Linked DNA regions of Tribolium castaneum. The protein of the gene in region 2 purifies or fractionates together with the protein of the main gene of each other region. This does not show direct contact. Links are inferred from orthologs where the notes say so. Each region holds a gene or a part of one and is shown on either strand. Other genes may lie near its edges.

Region 1 (8,262 bases), on a different chromosome or scaffold from region 2:
CAAATCTGAGTCCAGTTCGACGAAAAGTTCCGCAATTTCAAAAGTCTCAATTACATTCCAAATGTAGGTAAAAATACACAATTAAAGTAAGGTTTTTTATTCATTTGTTAATAAAATTGAGATAATAAAAGTTAAATTAACGCTTATTCCATTCCGGGCGGCAAAGGCTCGTTGGCTAATGTCGGGGGCGCAGCAATCGGCTGAAAAAAAAATTGTCTAAAAAACCGCAGAAAATTGGAACTGCTGATTAAGCTGCAACTAAAACAGTTCCACCCAACAAAGCCTTTTTAATTGATTACAGTTTCGATCTCAACTATTTTAAATAGTATTAAAAGTCACTAGGACTTACCTCTTCTGGAGTTACAACCACCGGTGGCGGAACAATCGTTGGTGGCGGCTGTGCGTAACTTCCTAAAATGATTTCCTGGACTGTGGGCGGGATGTGCGACCTTTGCCCTTCAGTAAAATTCAGCAAATGCTCTTTGAGCGGTTCCCTCAACTCGGGACAAATTGACAACGCATCAGATAGTTGGGGCGGTGGTAATTGCATCAAAACAGTAAAACTTTGCGGTTTTGTTCTTTGACAACATTTGATAAATCCCTCCCATACCACTTTCTGTTTCCAAACCTTCAAAAAGCAACAAAAAATATTGATTATTTTTTTTTTGTAATACGACAGAACCTGTTTTAAGATCAGACGTTGCAAAATATTCATCACGAACCCTGACAGTCGGGGATAACTGCCCAAAGCTTGGATGACAGTCCTCATGAGTAGAGTTGGTAGCGGGGTTTGGTCCATTAACTGTTGCAAAACAACAGCTAATACTTCTTGAGTAAATACCTGGAATTTGGTAATTTGAGAAATATATTCGGTGCGAAAATAATTCGTACTTGTTTTTCCTGAAGACACATAGATGTGGCCTTAATTATAGTTTTCAAGTCGGCTTTCGTGGAATCAATTAAATGTAGAGCGACCAAAAGTTCAGTTGGGGTAATTGGACTGTCACCATGTAAGCCTAAAAGTCGGTTAAAGACTTCCCTTACAACAACCGGGTTCAATTTAATTAGCTTTGGCAAAGCTGCAATTACCTACAATTGTACAAATTAGTCAAAAGTACAAACGACGCTCGACCTCATTACTTCTTTCTTTGATAACCCGTTCAAAACTGGGATAAGAAACCTAACATCTGACACTCTCGTGTGATACAATTCCCTGACTCTTTGCACCAACTGTGCACTCGGGGGGCCCTTGTCCGTCAAAACGTGTATAACACGCGTGACCAAAGTTTCCGAGCCTTTGGGACACTCCTCCACCAGTTTTAGAAGCTCAGGTGAGTCCATCCCCATTGATCTGATCGGGGTTTCAAGCAGACGTAGAATAATCCGTTTAATGTTGGCCCCCGTCTGTACGTAAACCTTAGCCAAGTCATGAATAAGACTCTCATTGGCTGGCAATAGCGAAATATACGGAATAAGACAAGCTTTTATAAAATCATCGCCCCAAGTCTCGCTCTTCAACCTCCCTTGACTAAACCCACACAAACTCTCCGGCGGCCTTTGCAACTTCAAAAACTCCAAATTCATTCGTGCAAACTCCTCAATCACCAACCTCAACTCCACCTTCTTGTGCAACTCCAAAACGTGTCCAATGGCACACTCTCTTACCACGCTCAATTCGTACGTCGTGTACGAGAGGAGGGCGTTGAGGAACATCAACTGTTTGGGGGGCTTCCGGACCGTCAAATCGTGCAACAACCCCAAAGCTGCTGTGCATTTCTTCTCGTCTCGGCACAACTGGTGGAGCTTATCCAAAGCCTCGTCTGTTATTAAAGGCGCTTCCAAAAACAATCGACAGAGCACTGCTGAGTCGTGCATACAAGCGTTTATAAATGTGCAAAGCAAGATGTTGTAGCTTTTGTCCAGTTTGGTGTCTTTGCGTAAAGGGGGCACTCTTGAGAAGCCCTGCAGTATTCCGTACTCTTCAAAAAGCCACGCCAGGGCCAGGTCTATGTGAGACCGTAAGTCTGATAGGAGAAACGCCAACACTGTTTGTCTGACAGTGGGGCTAAAGCAGGCTGCGATTGTGGTGATTAGTTTTTGGTACAAGCATTTTGCGGCTGTTTTGTCCGCGGTTAAAAGTCGGTTTATGGACCCTATTAACAATTTCTCCTTTGTTTCTTTCTCGATAGGTTTGGTGATTTCGGACAGTTTCAGTGTCTTGATTCGGGGAACTTTTGCTCGTTCCTTCTTCAGGAGCTACCAAATGTGTAAAACATGTTGTAAAACAAATAGAGGCTTCATTATATTTTTTTTTAAGAATAATTACTAAAATTTCTTTGACCTCACAATTACGATAAGTTATCAAAACATAACTTAAAAAAAATACAGGATGCGTGATACATAACTTCTCAAATCATCCGAACCAACATAAGCTAACAGATAAAGATAAATACATAAATAAATAAATAAATAAATAGACAAATATTTGGTACAATGAATTACATCTTATCTTTTCTTAAATACAGCTGAAAATGTGAAATCTGAATTGCAAATTACTGTTTCTGTTTTACTTATTATTATATTATTTGTGTGCAAAAATTGTTTTCTTACCTTTTCCTTCTCTTCCTTGTCCTCTTCCTCCTTCTCCTGCTGTCTAAATTCCTCGACCTTTTTTGCAAAACTTTTCGAAGACGGCGAAACCCCGGCCTCAGTCAAATACGTGGCAATAAGTTTTGTCAAAACATCAAATTGGCCAACTTTTCCACTATCGACATATTTGCCATACTCTTTCGCAAAATCGGGAGACATTGTAGCCGGCAGTTTACTCATAGAAGCGAAAACCATTTGAACCGCTCTTTCCAACGTGAAATTTTCAGACACAAAGTTCTCATTCAACTCTTGCAGTGTTTGCGAATCACTGTCATTGGTGTCGTTATCGAATTCAATTTGAGGATCAAGTCTAGGTCTTTTATTGTAGATCTGAAGGGACTCAACTGAGAGAGTCCTCTTGCAATATTTCCGCCGCTCGTCGGGTTTCGGTACCATTTTAAGAATGTCTTGCTGGGAATAACCTGAGAAAAAAATCCTAAAAAATTTTTTTGCGTAAAAATAAAACGCACCTAAATCGGTGAGCATTGGGGTTAATTTCTCCACAAATTCGTAAGCCGCTGGGTGTTTGATAAGTCCAGCGAGTTCGGATTTTAATTTTTTACGCACGGAATTCACTTGAGTTGTTGTTAGAGTTGGAGGTAGGTTATTGTAAAGTGATTCAATAGCTGAGACAACTCGAGACATAAATTCGGCCCGATTTTTTGCAATGTTTGTAACAACGCCCAGGCAGGTTAACAAGTTGGCACTGCTAATATGGGGAGAGCCAAAAAATTTTAAAAGTAACTCAAACAAGGTACTAAAAAATTCAATTAGAAATTTGCGAATTTAAAAAAAAATAAATACTTTGCTTCCTCTTCTAGTTTTCGCCTCCGCGCCAATTTTAACGTCAGAGGAACATCATCGAGTGAGAAGTCGTTCGGTTTCTTGTTCTCTTCCTGGTCGGGATAAGTTTGCAACAACACAACACATTCTAAAAATTTCACTGAACTAGTCCTAATGCCGTCATTGTCACTATCAATCATATTTGCAATTTCTAATTTTATGGCAGACAATTGCTTCCAGGCGTTTTCCATTTCTTCTGTAATTACAGAAGCCTTGCATAACCAGGCCAACGTTTTGCGATAAATACTGATTAAAGCTTGAATTACGCGCTTTTGCACCGCTATTGACTCATCACATAGTAGCATATGAAGGTTTAGCATTACTTTAGGTAAAAGAGACTCGCGCATTTTGCTAAAACAAAAGTTAAGTAACCAATTAAAATGCATAAAACCTACCATAACTCTTCAATAAAACCCACTAGCGCTTTTTTCACGTCCCCATTCCTATCAGTCGTGAAATTAAGCATGTTTTGTAAAAACTTTGGCAGCAAATGGGGCGACTTCCGAATCAAAACTTCTTGCAATTTGTGGAAGTATTCAAGCTTTTCTGCAGCAGAGCGGGACACTGCAGCGCTATTTATCCATTGGGTCACCTAAAACGCGTCTCTTTACTACCGAAATCAACTAAATCTCGGTTTTTTACTAAATCCTCGTCGGAAACTTCGTTCATGGTAAAATCCATGTCGAGAGGATTTTACAACCAAAAATGACGCAATTGTTGCCACTAAAGCAACGAAATTTCGAAAACAAAGCTAGTTTTATCTAAAGCGTTAAATTAATTGAAAATGAGAGCCAATCATCCATTTTTGGAAAGCCAAAGATTGAGGTTATGGCAGAAGTGACGTGAACATGTTACCAAAAAACAGTAACTTTTCCGCTTTTTGTTGGCGACTTTTGCTGTCAAAATACTATTGATGTGTCAAAATAATAAAAAATTATTAAAATACAATGTAATTGCTAATTACTTGGAAATTACAATACAATAGATTAAGTAACTATCGAGATGGAATCGAATACGCCATCCGAAAGTGGCAAGAAAATCGTTTTGGAGAATTTATCGAAAGAGGAATTGGTTAAACGGTGCGAACGGCTTTTGATTCTCGCCCAGAAGGCCAAACAGGCGAAGGACGCGCTCCAGGAGGAAAATAACGAGCTGAAAAATAGGCTAAAATCGGAATCTGGAGATGCCACAACTGCAATTATCGAAAATTTGACCCAACAGAAGTTGCAGTTTGTTACCACGATTGAAGACTTGAAGAGCCAAAATGCCGCTTTGGTGAATAAAGTGCAAAACTGCACGCAAGACGCACGTCTGTGTGAGGAGAAGGATAGGCTTGAAAGCGAGAATATTTCGTATAAAAGGCAAATCAAGCGTTTGACGGATGAAAATGAGCAGCTGATTACGCATCTGGAGTCTCTGGAAAAGCAACTCGAAGAGTGCAAAAACCTGGGACTTGAACAGCAAAATCAGCTGCTGATGTTGGAAGAGGCGAATCAAAAGTTACGGAGTGATGACACAAGTGATAAGTCTGCAGAGTTGCAGAAGATGCTTAGTATTAGTTTAGAGGAAGTTAAGAAGTTGCAAGCTGAGAATAACACAATGAGGGAGAAAATTGACGTGCTCAAGACGAATCTGGGGGAGAAGGATAAGAACATTTTAACGATAGGCCAAGAGTTGCAGGAAAAATTGAAATTGGTCGAGGATTTAGAAAAAATCAAAAATGAAACAAGAGAAAATGTGGAGTTGGTTGAGAAACTTAAAGGGAGACTGAAATTTTATCACTCAAAAGTTGTAAAACTGGCCGGTAATGTGAAGGTTTTGAAGGAAAATAAAAACGAGGTTTTGCGTTTGCTCAAAACGTACTCACATCAAGTGGAAGAATGGAAAGAACAGTTGGGTGTAGCTTCAAAAAAGTTGTGCCAAGAAATTAGTGATATCAAAGTACAGAACTCTGAATATCACAAGGAAATTGAAGGTTTGAAAGAAAGTAATGCAAAATATCTGAAACAACTTGAGGCACATAAAACCGACGACGAGAAAAGTAAAGAACTTGGCGAGTTTGAGAGAATTTCCAAAGAACATAAGAAATTGATTGAAGAAAATCAAAGATTGTTACAACTTCAACTTGACTACCAGCAAACTGTTGAAACGCTCACTGTTGAAAAGGAGAGTCTGCTTGAGAATTTGTCTCAATTGGAGGAAAGACATCAGGAAGAAATCAAAGTTTTTGACGACCAAAGCAAGAAAGACACAATTGAGATCAAGAACAGAATCGAAGAAAATGAAAAAATTTGCATTGAATACCGAAAAGTCATCTCCAAGCTGGAGGAGGATCTAGATTTAAACTTGAGGGAGCTAAATGATGCGAAGCAGAAGAATTACAGTCTTCAAGAAGCACTTGAACATTCAAAAGAAACGGAGAGGCAAATTGCTGATAAAACCAGTGAAGAAATACTTAAACTAGTTCAAGAAAATGCCCAGTTGGTGGAAATGAACCGAAAATTGCAAACCACCCGTGATAACTGCAAACAAGTGGAATGCCAAACTGAGGATTCAACAAACAGCGAACTGGAAGAAGTCGTGTCAGGTTTGAAGAGAGAAAATTCCGAACTTTTGGCCGAAATGAACGAAATGAATCAAGCACTGAAAGAAAGAGGAGAGACTATTTCCAAATTGCAATCTCACTGCGAAGAAGTTATGAAAAAATTGCAATTGTATGAGACACAAGCCAACAAAAACGTTGACAACATATCCCAAAAGGAGGAAATAATTAAAAAACTTGAAGACGAAATCGAGCGACTTAAAGCCACGAGTGACTTAAACTCAAACACCTCCGAAATCAGTGATTTGAAAAACGAAATTGAGAATTTGAAAGAACGGTTAAACTCGAATCTTGATTCAAGTTACGCCGATAGCGAGTGCATGTCCACGTCGACAATTTCAAGAACGGAGGAATCAAACAGAATGAAAGATCTGGAAGGGTCTTGGGAGGAAAGATACGGAAAACTACGAAACTTGGCCGTGAAACTGAAAGGGAAAGTTCGTGACTTGTCCAACGAATTGGTGAAGGAGCAAAACGAGAAGAACGATATTCAGCAAAAATGTGCCAGTAACGTGAAAACCATCGCAACTTTGCAAGCCCAGTGCGATAAATTACAAGACGAATTGGACGAAAACAAAAAACAAATAAAGGAATATTCCGCCCGATTGGATTCGACCCTTGCTGAAGTTTCCAAAGATAAGCAAAAACTGAGCGAAAACGAGGAGATAATCACCATACTCAAGAAAGAATTGGAAGAGTTAAACCAAGAGAAAGTCACGACTGAAGCCTGGAAGAAGCAAATAAGCGGCAAAGTTTCGACGTTTAGAAAGGAACTCGAAGCGAATAAGGTTTTGAAGAAGGAATACGAGGCCAAAATCGCCAAACTCACCTCGGACTTGGAGGCCAAAGAACAGGCGCTCAAGGCCGAGAGCGAGTACCACCAACAAACGAAAAATTCCCTTGAACATTCCAATATCGAACGCAAGAAAAACTCCGTCCTTAACCTGGAAATGCAAGACTACGAGAGGAGTGTCAAGGAGTTGTCCCAGAAATTGGAAAAGAAGCAAGAAGAAATCAACAAGTTGAAAAGCCAGCTCGAGTCGCAGAAAAGCACAACAAATGCGGTCCGCGAACAGAACAAGCTTTTAGAAGAACGAGCGGAAGAGATGAAGAGCGAAGTCGGAGCAACACAGGCTGAAATTATCGCTTGTAAGAAGCAAATTTCTGACTTGGAATCGGTCATGTCGAGTAAGGAGAACAAAATTCACGATTTGACCCAAATTTTGGAAACCGTGCGTTCGGAAAATGAGGAACTGTCGACTGAGTTATCCAAAGTCATTGCCGAGCATCAGAAAGTTAACACAAGCCTGAAAAGCGAGAAAGAAAATTTGAAAGGGCAAATTCTGGGGCTGCAGCAGACTTTGAGAGACGTCCAAGATGCGCTAAAACTGAAGGAAGACGAACTGAAAATCGTGCAAAATGATTACGAAAATTACAAGGTTCGGGCGCAGAGTGTCTTGAGACAGAACCAGAGTCGCGATGTTGGTCTCGAGGAAAAATTGTCGGAAGAAGTGTCAGCTCTGGGGGTTAAGTGTGAGGCTCTCACTGCGGAGCTAAACAAGTGCAAGTAAGTTAGAGTGGAAATTTAGTTTTTGTGACTGATGTCACGTTTGTAGAACTGTTGTTGACGATTTGAAGAAGGAAAATGAAGCATTGGTTCACGAAAAATCGGAAGTCTTGACCAAATATGAAGATGTGTTGAGCGAAGTTGAGGACCTTAAATCGCTCTACGACCAACTAACTAACAAGCATCAGCAGACCATGATAGAACACAGCGAGACTGTCAGGAGTTTAAAGGTAAAAATGGATTTGCATGACAGATAATTGGGTTATTTTGAGACAAATATATAAACGCATGCTATGAAAATTATATAATAACTTGATAACTAAAAGAGATTTAAAAAATCTTGAAAAATTATTACATTTTTAAAGTAGTTGATGTATTAATTATGCAACCAATATTACAACAATATCACCTAGCCAAGTTCTTCGGGATGATTTATGACGCCAGGTAGTCGTTGTGATCGATAAGACCCTGTAAATATTTATTTATGAGACTTTATAATAAGGGGGCTGAACACTTTCACATTATTTTGAATTTTTTCCGTTCATATTAAATAATAATAAAGATAATTTTCATTATCCTTGATAGTAAAGTAAAAATTAAA
Region 2 (8,314 bases):
GAAAAACTAAATACATATTTTTTGTTTCATCTAATTTTTGTGTTTCTAAAATAGACCCAAATGATATTTAAACTTTTAAAGGTCCTGGAGCTATAGAAAAGTGAAGAAAAGACATCAGAGCGAATTAAAAAAAAAACGATTTGATTTTGAATGTCCCAATAAGTGAACAACTGTAAAAATTATCGATTAACTTTAAACTGCAAAACAGCGTTTTTTTATAGTTTTGTAGAGGTAAATTAACTGAATACAATGCAACAGCTTAAACAACTTTATCGTTATATTAAAAAAGAATCAATTTTTCTATGTAAACAGATTTAATTCATAATTAAAAAACAGGAATGTACTGCGTATGATATTTTAAATTGTAAGACGACATAAAATTACTTACATTTTTGGAATGCTCGGCGAGTCGCATAATTCTCTCATTTTCTTCATTTTTGGCTTGCTGAGTTAATTCGTTAAGTTCATCGTCACTTAAAATAGCCCTGATGTTTCTGCGCCCTTTCGTTCCACCCGTTTCATCCTCAACGCTAAAAAATTGTTGTTTTCTAAAACCACAAAACTACACAAAACACATTCACTTACATAAGAACATCGTCACTGTCAGAACTTGAATCAGACGAATCAGTTATAATCATAGTTTCGAAATTGTTATTTGCTACCTTAATTTCATTTTTATTTTCACTAATACTTTCCTGATCTGAATCAAGATTTTCAATTTCCACGACATTTCTCTTGTCGCTGTTATTATTAACTTTGACAACGTTTTCGTTCAGATCAGTGTTATCTTTTGTTCTTTTATCTCTCACATGGAATACCAACGAATCTGCATCCGAATCGCTGTCTGAGCTCGAACTGCGAAGCAAAGGATCGTTTTTCCAGCTTTTGCGTTTTGGAATCGTTTCTTCGTCCAAACTCGAACTACTCGTATCCTTGTCTTCGGTTGTAGTCTTTACATTTTTACTTTCATCCATATTTTCAGGCGTCATTTTCCTTTTCTTCTTAGCTGGCTCCTCTTCCTCAGTAGTGTCCGAATCTGAACTTGATTCACCTGAGTCCAATCTGTCCACTAAATTATCGGCCAAAGCCGCAAGTGCCTCATTTTCCGCATCATCACCAAAAACAGGTGAAGAAGGGCGTTGTTCGTCTATAATGAGATCAGGCGTTACAGAACCATCTGAGGAATTTTCATCCTCAGACGATGATGACGACGAAGAACTGTCCAAAGGTATTAATCGCCTGTATTTCTTTTTCCTATGTCGTGCTGTTATTTTTTTACATTTTCGTTTGAGTGTGTCCGTGTTACATAATCTATCTATTTCTCCATCACTGCTATCAATGCGTCGTAATTTTAGAGAAAAATTTTGGCAGTCTTCTGCAGCTACGGAAGAGCAAAAGTCTTCAACATTATCTTCGTTTTTACGGTTTACTTCATTATCGGAATTATCATCATCAGACCTAAAACAAAAGTGGCTCTAAAACAAAATTAATTCATTCCAATAACGTACAAAGAATCATCCGAGAATGAATCCTGACAACTTGATAATGACATATCCTCTTCTAAAATCTGTAAGGCTTGATCGCCCTTAGTTATCAAATCCACGTCAGAGTCGTCGACTGCTTTATTCAACAAATCCAAAAGTTCATGATTGTCTTCTTGTCCGCGACCTAAAATTTACATACTTAAAAAAGTACAGAAAAGATTAAATCACAAGTGGAGTAATTTTTGTTTTAATGATCTAACATACAGGTGATTCAGTCCAGCTCCCGTCTCCTGTAGCTCAGTTATTGTTAAATCTGGACTTTTGATATTTCGTAGATGTTATTTATAATCTAGGTCATATTTCAGGAAAAAGTTTGATTATACAGTTACACAAAAAAGTATTTTTTTATGCTCATTAGGATACCCTTATAGCTCCTTACATATCCATATTTTTTTAATATCAGTTTAGGGATTTAAAAACAAAAAAATTCGTTATTAAATAAAAAATAAATTAATCAGTAACTCTTTGATAACATTATTACTAGGTATGTGTTGAACAAGGTTTAACAGACTTATTATTGATTAATTTTGATAGATCTGAGTTAGTACAGGTGTTCACAACTTACTTTCAAACTTTTTAAATCTAGAGCATTTATTTTGCTTATTTTAAATGGGAACCCCTGTTTATTTTTACGTCATTCAATGAGGAAGTAAAAAAACAATAGAGTTGTTCTAACAAAAAAAAATGTTTTTTAATTCCGCATCGACTGACATAAAAATAAACACTGTTGGAACTATCTTCGATTTTTATTCATTAAATTTGTCATTAAAATTGCTATTTAGGTGACAAAATTTTTAGCAAATAACTCCTAATGTATTAGGATTTACGTTAGGGTTGTAATAAGAAAACATGTTCGTTTTCCAATTCCGCATCGAATGATGAATGATATAAAAATAAACAGGGGTTCCCATTTGAAAATAAAAAGTCACAAAATGTAAAAAGTTTGGAAGAAAAAAAAATAGGGACATGTCAAAAGGGTAACCCAATGCACACAAAAAATAATAGCATGCCATTAAAAAATATTATTGTATGACGTCAAACCTTTTTGGGAGACACTGTATAATCAAAAATATTTTCCTAAAATGCGCCGTAGAGTATAAATAACGTCTATAAAATATCAAAGATTCAACTTAGCTACAGATGACGGGAGCTGGACTGGATCATCCTGCATATCATCCAGAATTTTGGGAAAAGAAAAAGTTTACAAAGTGAAATAAACTTTTTGTTCGGCTTAACCTACAAATTTTGGTGCCTTAAAAGAAAAAAGGGTGACACAGGCAAAACGTAATGTGTACCTGATGTAGAAATAATTAAAAACGCATTAAAATTTCATTTGTTAAATAGTTGAGTCAACTAAAATGTAAAATAGCTGCTTATTGTGGAGAAAGTCTGGGTGTAGTTTACTTTATTTATTAAAAATAAACAAGAAAGACAAATACCTGGGCTATCTTTGGCTTTTTCTATTGCAACAGTCAACTGTTCTGTAAAGCAGAAGTATTTTATTAAAAAATAAAATTACCAGACTATGTAACTACCATCTACATCGTCAAAATCAAAACTCGCAGTCTCAAAATGATGCCTAATTTCGTGTTTTGTTTCGTCTTGGCTAGTCAGTTCATCTAAAGCCTTTTTTAATTCTCCGGCTACGTCTAGAAAAGGCGGAACGAACGATTAATTTTACAAAGCATAAATCAAATAGTACCATCTACGGAGCCATCAGCTAAAGGAATATCAAAATTTCGCAATGTGGGCTCGTCACAATCAGTCTCACTACCATCATCACTTTTGTCATCTTGGATATCTACAGTAGGAATGTCTAGAGTACCGGAAGTTCCTGGCAATTGTGCATTTGAGTCAATATCACACACTAAATCTATGTCAGTCTCTTGGGTTACGGCTTTTACTTCAGGAAGATCCTCCCGAGTCTTAAGACTAGACGCAGTTTTGGATTTCTCCGCTTCGTCTGCTTTTTTGTACGTTTCAAAGGCCGAATTGAATGTGTTTACAAACTCGCCCACATTTATATTTATCCGCTCGATGAGAGTTTTAAAATTTTGCGCTAAAGGCTCAACGGAACTCGGATTAAGTGATTCTACGTCGTTCAATAATTTATCCGACTTTTTTATAACTTGAGTCGACATGTACTTCAGGTCACTCAACACGTCAACTAGGACCTTTTGGAGTTCCGAACACGAACTTTCCATCATAATATACTTTTAGTAATAACTCAAATAACAATAATATTGGAAGAGCAAATGTAAGGTTATGAAGTCACTTCACTACATTTGAGTCAATTTTTTCATCAGTAACAATTTTTCACGCACGTTATCACTACACTACAGCCAAAAATCCTCTGATTTCATAACGTTTTGCAGAAAAAATTAATAACAAAAATAATCTGAAAACCACCCCTAAACTGTCACAAACTGTTTTGTTGTATTGGCAATCCTGTTGAAATTTTCTGTCGTCTGTCAGAAATGAGAAAGCAAATGTCCCTGTTGCACCACCAAAACTGTCCAAAATATGAGTTAATTTTGCACATTTGTGTATTAAATTAACTTCTGGTCACAAAACACCCAATATGCTCACCGTTTAATAAGTTGGGGCACACCACATAAAATGACTTCAATAATCAAACTGCAGGCCCTGTCGGGGGCAATGGACGAGTCGCCCCCTTGCTACATCCTGCAAGTCGACGAAGTGCGTATTTTACTGGACTGTGGATGGGACGAACATTTCGATATGGAAATTATCAAAGAAATGAGAAGGTGAACTTAACCTAAAAACGGGAACTTGATTTGACTGACTTTATTTAAGGCATGTTCACACGATTGACGCCGTCTTGATTTCGTACCCTGATGTGGCGCATTTGGGGGCTCTTCCATATTTAGTCGGAAAGTTGGGCTTGAATTGCCCTATTTATGCCACAATACCGGTCTATAAGATGGGGCAAATGTTTATGTATGACTTGTTTCAGTCTCATTATAATATGGAAGACTTTGATTTATTCACATTGGATGATGTGGACGCCACTTTTGAGAAAGTTATTCAGCTGAAGTATAATCAGAGTGTTCCATTAAAAGGTAGGTAACTTCCAAAAATTGTTATTTCGTAAAAGTTAATTGGGGAAAAGGCAAGGGGTATGGATTGACAATCACGCCCTTGCCTGCTGGGCACATGATTGGGGGCACAATTTGGAAAATAATGAAGGTTGGTGAAGAAGACATTATTTACGCTAATGATTTCAACCACAAAAAAGAGAGGCATTTGAACGGTTGTGAGTTAGAAAAGTTACAAAGGCCCTCTCTGTTCATCACTGATGCGTTTAATGCTACGTACCAACAAGCCAGGAGAAGGGCTCGGGACGAAAAACTAATGAGTAATAATGAGCGTTGAGTTGGAAAGTTGTTAATAATTTTTTTAGCCAACATTTTGCAAACTTTGAGGAACAACGGCAACGTTCTGGTCGCTGTGGACACAGCAGGCCGTGTTTTAGAACTGGCCCATATGTTGGACCAGCTTTGGAGAAACAAGGAATCAGGCCTTCTAGTCTATTCTCTAGCTCTGCTAAGCAATGTCAGTTACAACGTTGTAGAGTTTGCAAAGTCTCAAATTGAGTGGATGAGTGATAAACTGATGAGGAGTTTTGAAGGCGCGAGAAATAATCCTTTCCAGTTCAAACATCTGCAACTGTGTCACAGTTTACACGAACTACAGAAGGTTTCAAGTCCTAAAGTTGTTCTCGCGAGTTCGCCTGATATGGAGAGTGGGTTCTCTCGCGAGTTGTTTCTTCAGTGGTGCTCAAATCCTAATAATAGTATAATTATCACGACTAGGTTTGTAATTTATTTAATTTTTTTTTGTCGCTTAAAGTATGATTTAAGGACGTCTCCGGGGACATTAGCTCGAGATTTAGTCGATAATGGGGGCAATCGCCAAATCGATTTGGTTGTGAAAAGACGAGTCAAGTTAGAAGGTAGCGAACTTGAAGAGTACCAAAAGAGCCAAAGAGAAAAACGAGAGGAAAATTCCAGCAGGGAGTAAGTTTGAGTTAGGTGGGTTACACTGTCACTTAATCCCCCTTTTAGCGAGGAGTCGGATTCAGACGATGATATTGAAATGAGTGTCATATCAAAAGGGCGGCACGATATTGTCATAAAACAAGAAGGCAAGACCTCAGGTGGCTTTTTCAAAGTTACGAAAAAACAATATCCCATCTACCCTTTTCACGAAGAAAAAATCAAATGTGACGAATACGGCGAAATAATCAAACCGGAAGACTACAAGCTAGCTGATGTCGTCACAGAAACTGAAGATAATAAGGAAAATGTTGTGATCAAAAAAGAAGAAGAGGTCATTCGTGAGTATCATTTACGGGCAACTAAATATCAGAAGGCAAACAACTAACCAAACCTTTAGTGAGGTGGAGCAAAATTCAAATTCTCTGTTTCAAATTAATTTAATTAGTTCGCTGATTGATTAGAAAAAATGCATCATGTTCTTAATGAGCGGCGAAAAAAAATTTGCGTTCTGTTCTATATTTCTCAAAACGCTGCGAATACAGGGTTATATATACAAGAAAAATGTAAGAAAAAAAAAGTTGAAAGAATAAATAAAGAAACAATGACGTTTAAAGCAGCTTATTTTACTGGTAGGTGGATTTTGGGGGAACACTTTAAAGTAAATTAAATGTAATCAGTTGAAAATTGAGATGTGGCCTCGTGGACTACTTTATAGAAAACTGAATTTTCTACAACTTTGTTTTTTCCACTTTTTTATATCTTTATCAGTATTCTCAAAATAAAATTGTGGTAATTTTTAAAAAAATATATGTTTTGGTATTTTTTGCGTTATACTTAAATAAGAAAATACTATGGGAGTATCAATAGAGTATAGGGCAAATTGATAAAAAAAGTCTTTGCCTAACCATTTTCGAAATATTTTTTTTAAATTATGTTGGAGATAAAGAGTACGTCACTGATGTATACGTAAGTAGTATTAGCACAGTTGATGGAAACTTGGAGAGCATGATATTCATTTGATGACAATGTAACTCGATCACTGCAACAATGATCACTGTGTATTATCGATATTCATGATAAAAACGAGCACATTTTTTCCAATACAAGTAAACCCATGAGCGCCGTAAGTGAGCCTTACGAAATAAAAACTTAAATATGTACAGGTCGTCTCTACTTTTCGGTGAAAAGTTATGATAAAATTTCGTCGCCACTTTTACTTGGATAGCTGTGATAAAATTTTGTCGGTCAATTTAAGAATTACCCCGTATGTGGTATCTTAATATGGAGATTTTTTATTAATAAATTAATATGTCGTGTCGCATTCTAGTATCATAGAATTGTAGTTTGAATTTAAGGACCTATGATTTGAATTTAAGTTGGCAACATTAATTATTTTCTGTTCGTAATTTGTGGCAGAAACTGCCAATTTGGATAATTATTTTTACCCTTTATTTGTAGGCTTTCTTGGCAATAAATTTGTCATTGGAATCTTATCACACATACTTTTTTACAAAAAGTTAAAATTTGTGACAAATTTGACCATAAAAAGCGCTGTTGGCTTTTTTGCCTTGTTTGAAATCCAATTTTTTTAGCACTGTTACAAAATAAACTTATACTAAATTTATATAACATGAATAAACAAATCAAATAAAAATTTAATAGAAAACACATTTAAAAGGCGTTCGAGAAAAAAAGTGAATATAAAAAACGCGTGAGTAGTAAGGAAGCCTTTAAATAAGTTCAGTTTATAATTGTTTTTATAAAATCAATGTTGTTTTTCTGCAATTAAACTTTTGGTGAGAAATTATATAAGAGTCGTAAGACATAAATAAACATAACACTTTTTAGTGGAATTATAGAAATTCGCAGACTATATATTTTGTTGCTTTCCAAAAAATGGTATAGTTTTGTTTAAATAAAACTTAAAAATAAATGTCCGACTTGGTAACTTTCTGCGATAAACCCACGATTTATTTATTTACTTATTTCCGAAGAACGGCTTTAGGCATAGTCTTATCCTCACATAATAAATGTTGCCAACCTAATTTTAAAATCACAGGTCACTGATTGACAATATTTACAGCTGAGGTGGCTGAGACGCCGTCCAAGTGCATCGTACTTAGCAGGACTGTCCAGGTTAACTGTCAAGTGCAATATATTGACTTCGAAGGTCGCTCAGACGGGGAATCCCTCATGAAAATTTTGTCTCAGTTGAGGCCCAGAAGAGTTATAATCGTCCGAGGTTCGCCTGAGAGTACTAACACGATAAAAAATCACTGTCAGGAGAATCTCGATGCAAGAGTGTTTGCTCCAGTCAGGGGTGAAGTCGTGGATGCGACAACTGAGACTCATATTTATCAAGTGCGTCTGACTGATGCTCTGGTGTCTCAACTGAATTTCCAGAAGGCTAAAGATGCCGAAGTTGCGTGGCTTAACGCCCAGATTGTGGTCAGGGAAAGTCAGTTGGATGCGAGGAGGATGAATGTCGACAACGAACCAATGGAAGGTAAATTTTGTGGCAATGACGTAAATTATAGGGTCTGTTTATAAAAGAGAGGATCTCAGGTGGTTCTGGAATTGGAATTCGCCGCATTTAATTACTTTATTTCTATTAAATTTCTGATAAGTACCAATTTTTATCTACTCTACAACCATTGAAACAATTTTTTTTCATATACTAACATTGTTCGTTTTTTGTGGAAAGAAGCGGCAAACTTTTAATACCTACTACAATCCTATATTCATTTA

What was found.
Region 1: the proteins of Cpsf100 (region 2) and Sym purify together in Drosophila melanogaster (affinity purification with western blotting; 3 studies listed by BioGRID). This does not show direct contact. The link is inferred for Tribolium castaneum from reciprocal best matches to the Drosophila melanogaster genes Cpsf100 and Sym.

Annotation. Positions count from the first base shown.
Region 1 is NC_087398.1:8,153,474-8,161,735, reverse strand, and holds Sym (symplekin), read right to left. Parts: upstream 4,322-8,262; 5' UTR 4,174-4,321; coding exon 4,135-4,173; intron 4,085-4,134; coding exon 3,888-4,084; intron 3,844-3,887; coding exon 3,454-3,843; intron 3,407-3,453; coding exon 3,120-3,406; intron 3,072-3,119; coding exon 2,611-3,071; intron 2,257-2,610; coding exon 1,141-2,256; intron 1,090-1,140; coding exon 892-1,089; intron 842-891; coding exon 683-841; intron 629-682; coding exon 350-628; intron 201-349; coding exon 144-200; 3' UTR 82-143; downstream 1-81. Other genes in the region: Ccdc39 (coiled-coil domain-containing protein 39), read left to right, coding at 1-67; GRIP and coiled-coil domain-containing protein 2-like, read left to right, coding at 4,495-7,661, 7,711-7,891. UniProt on the Drosophila melanogaster protein: Component of a protein complex required for cotranscriptional processing of 3'-ends of polyadenylated and histone pre-mRNA. Involved in germline stem cell transit amplification, differentiation and mitosis-to-meiosis transition.
Region 2 is NC_087396.1:18,206,046-18,214,359, forward strand, and holds the start of Cpsf100 (probable cleavage and polyadenylation specificity factor subunit 2), read left to right. Parts: upstream 1-4,024; 5' UTR 4,025-4,163; coding exon 4,164-4,312; intron 4,313-4,361; coding exon 4,362-4,627; intron 4,628-4,677; coding exon 4,678-4,923; intron 4,924-4,968; coding exon 4,969-5,380; intron 5,381-5,428; coding exon 5,429-5,584; intron 5,585-5,632; coding exon 5,633-5,904; intron 5,905-7,649; coding exon 7,650-8,072; intron 8,073-8,314. Other genes in the region: transcriptional regulator ATRX homolog, read right to left, coding at 389-530, 586-1,458, 1,509-1,668, 2,984-3,025, 3,080-3,193, 3,247-3,751. UniProt on the Drosophila melanogaster protein: Component of the cleavage and polyadenylation specificity factor (CPSF) complex that plays a key role in pre-mRNA 3'-end formation, recognizing the AAUAAA signal sequence and interacting with poly(A) polymerase and other factors to bring about cleavage and poly(A) addition.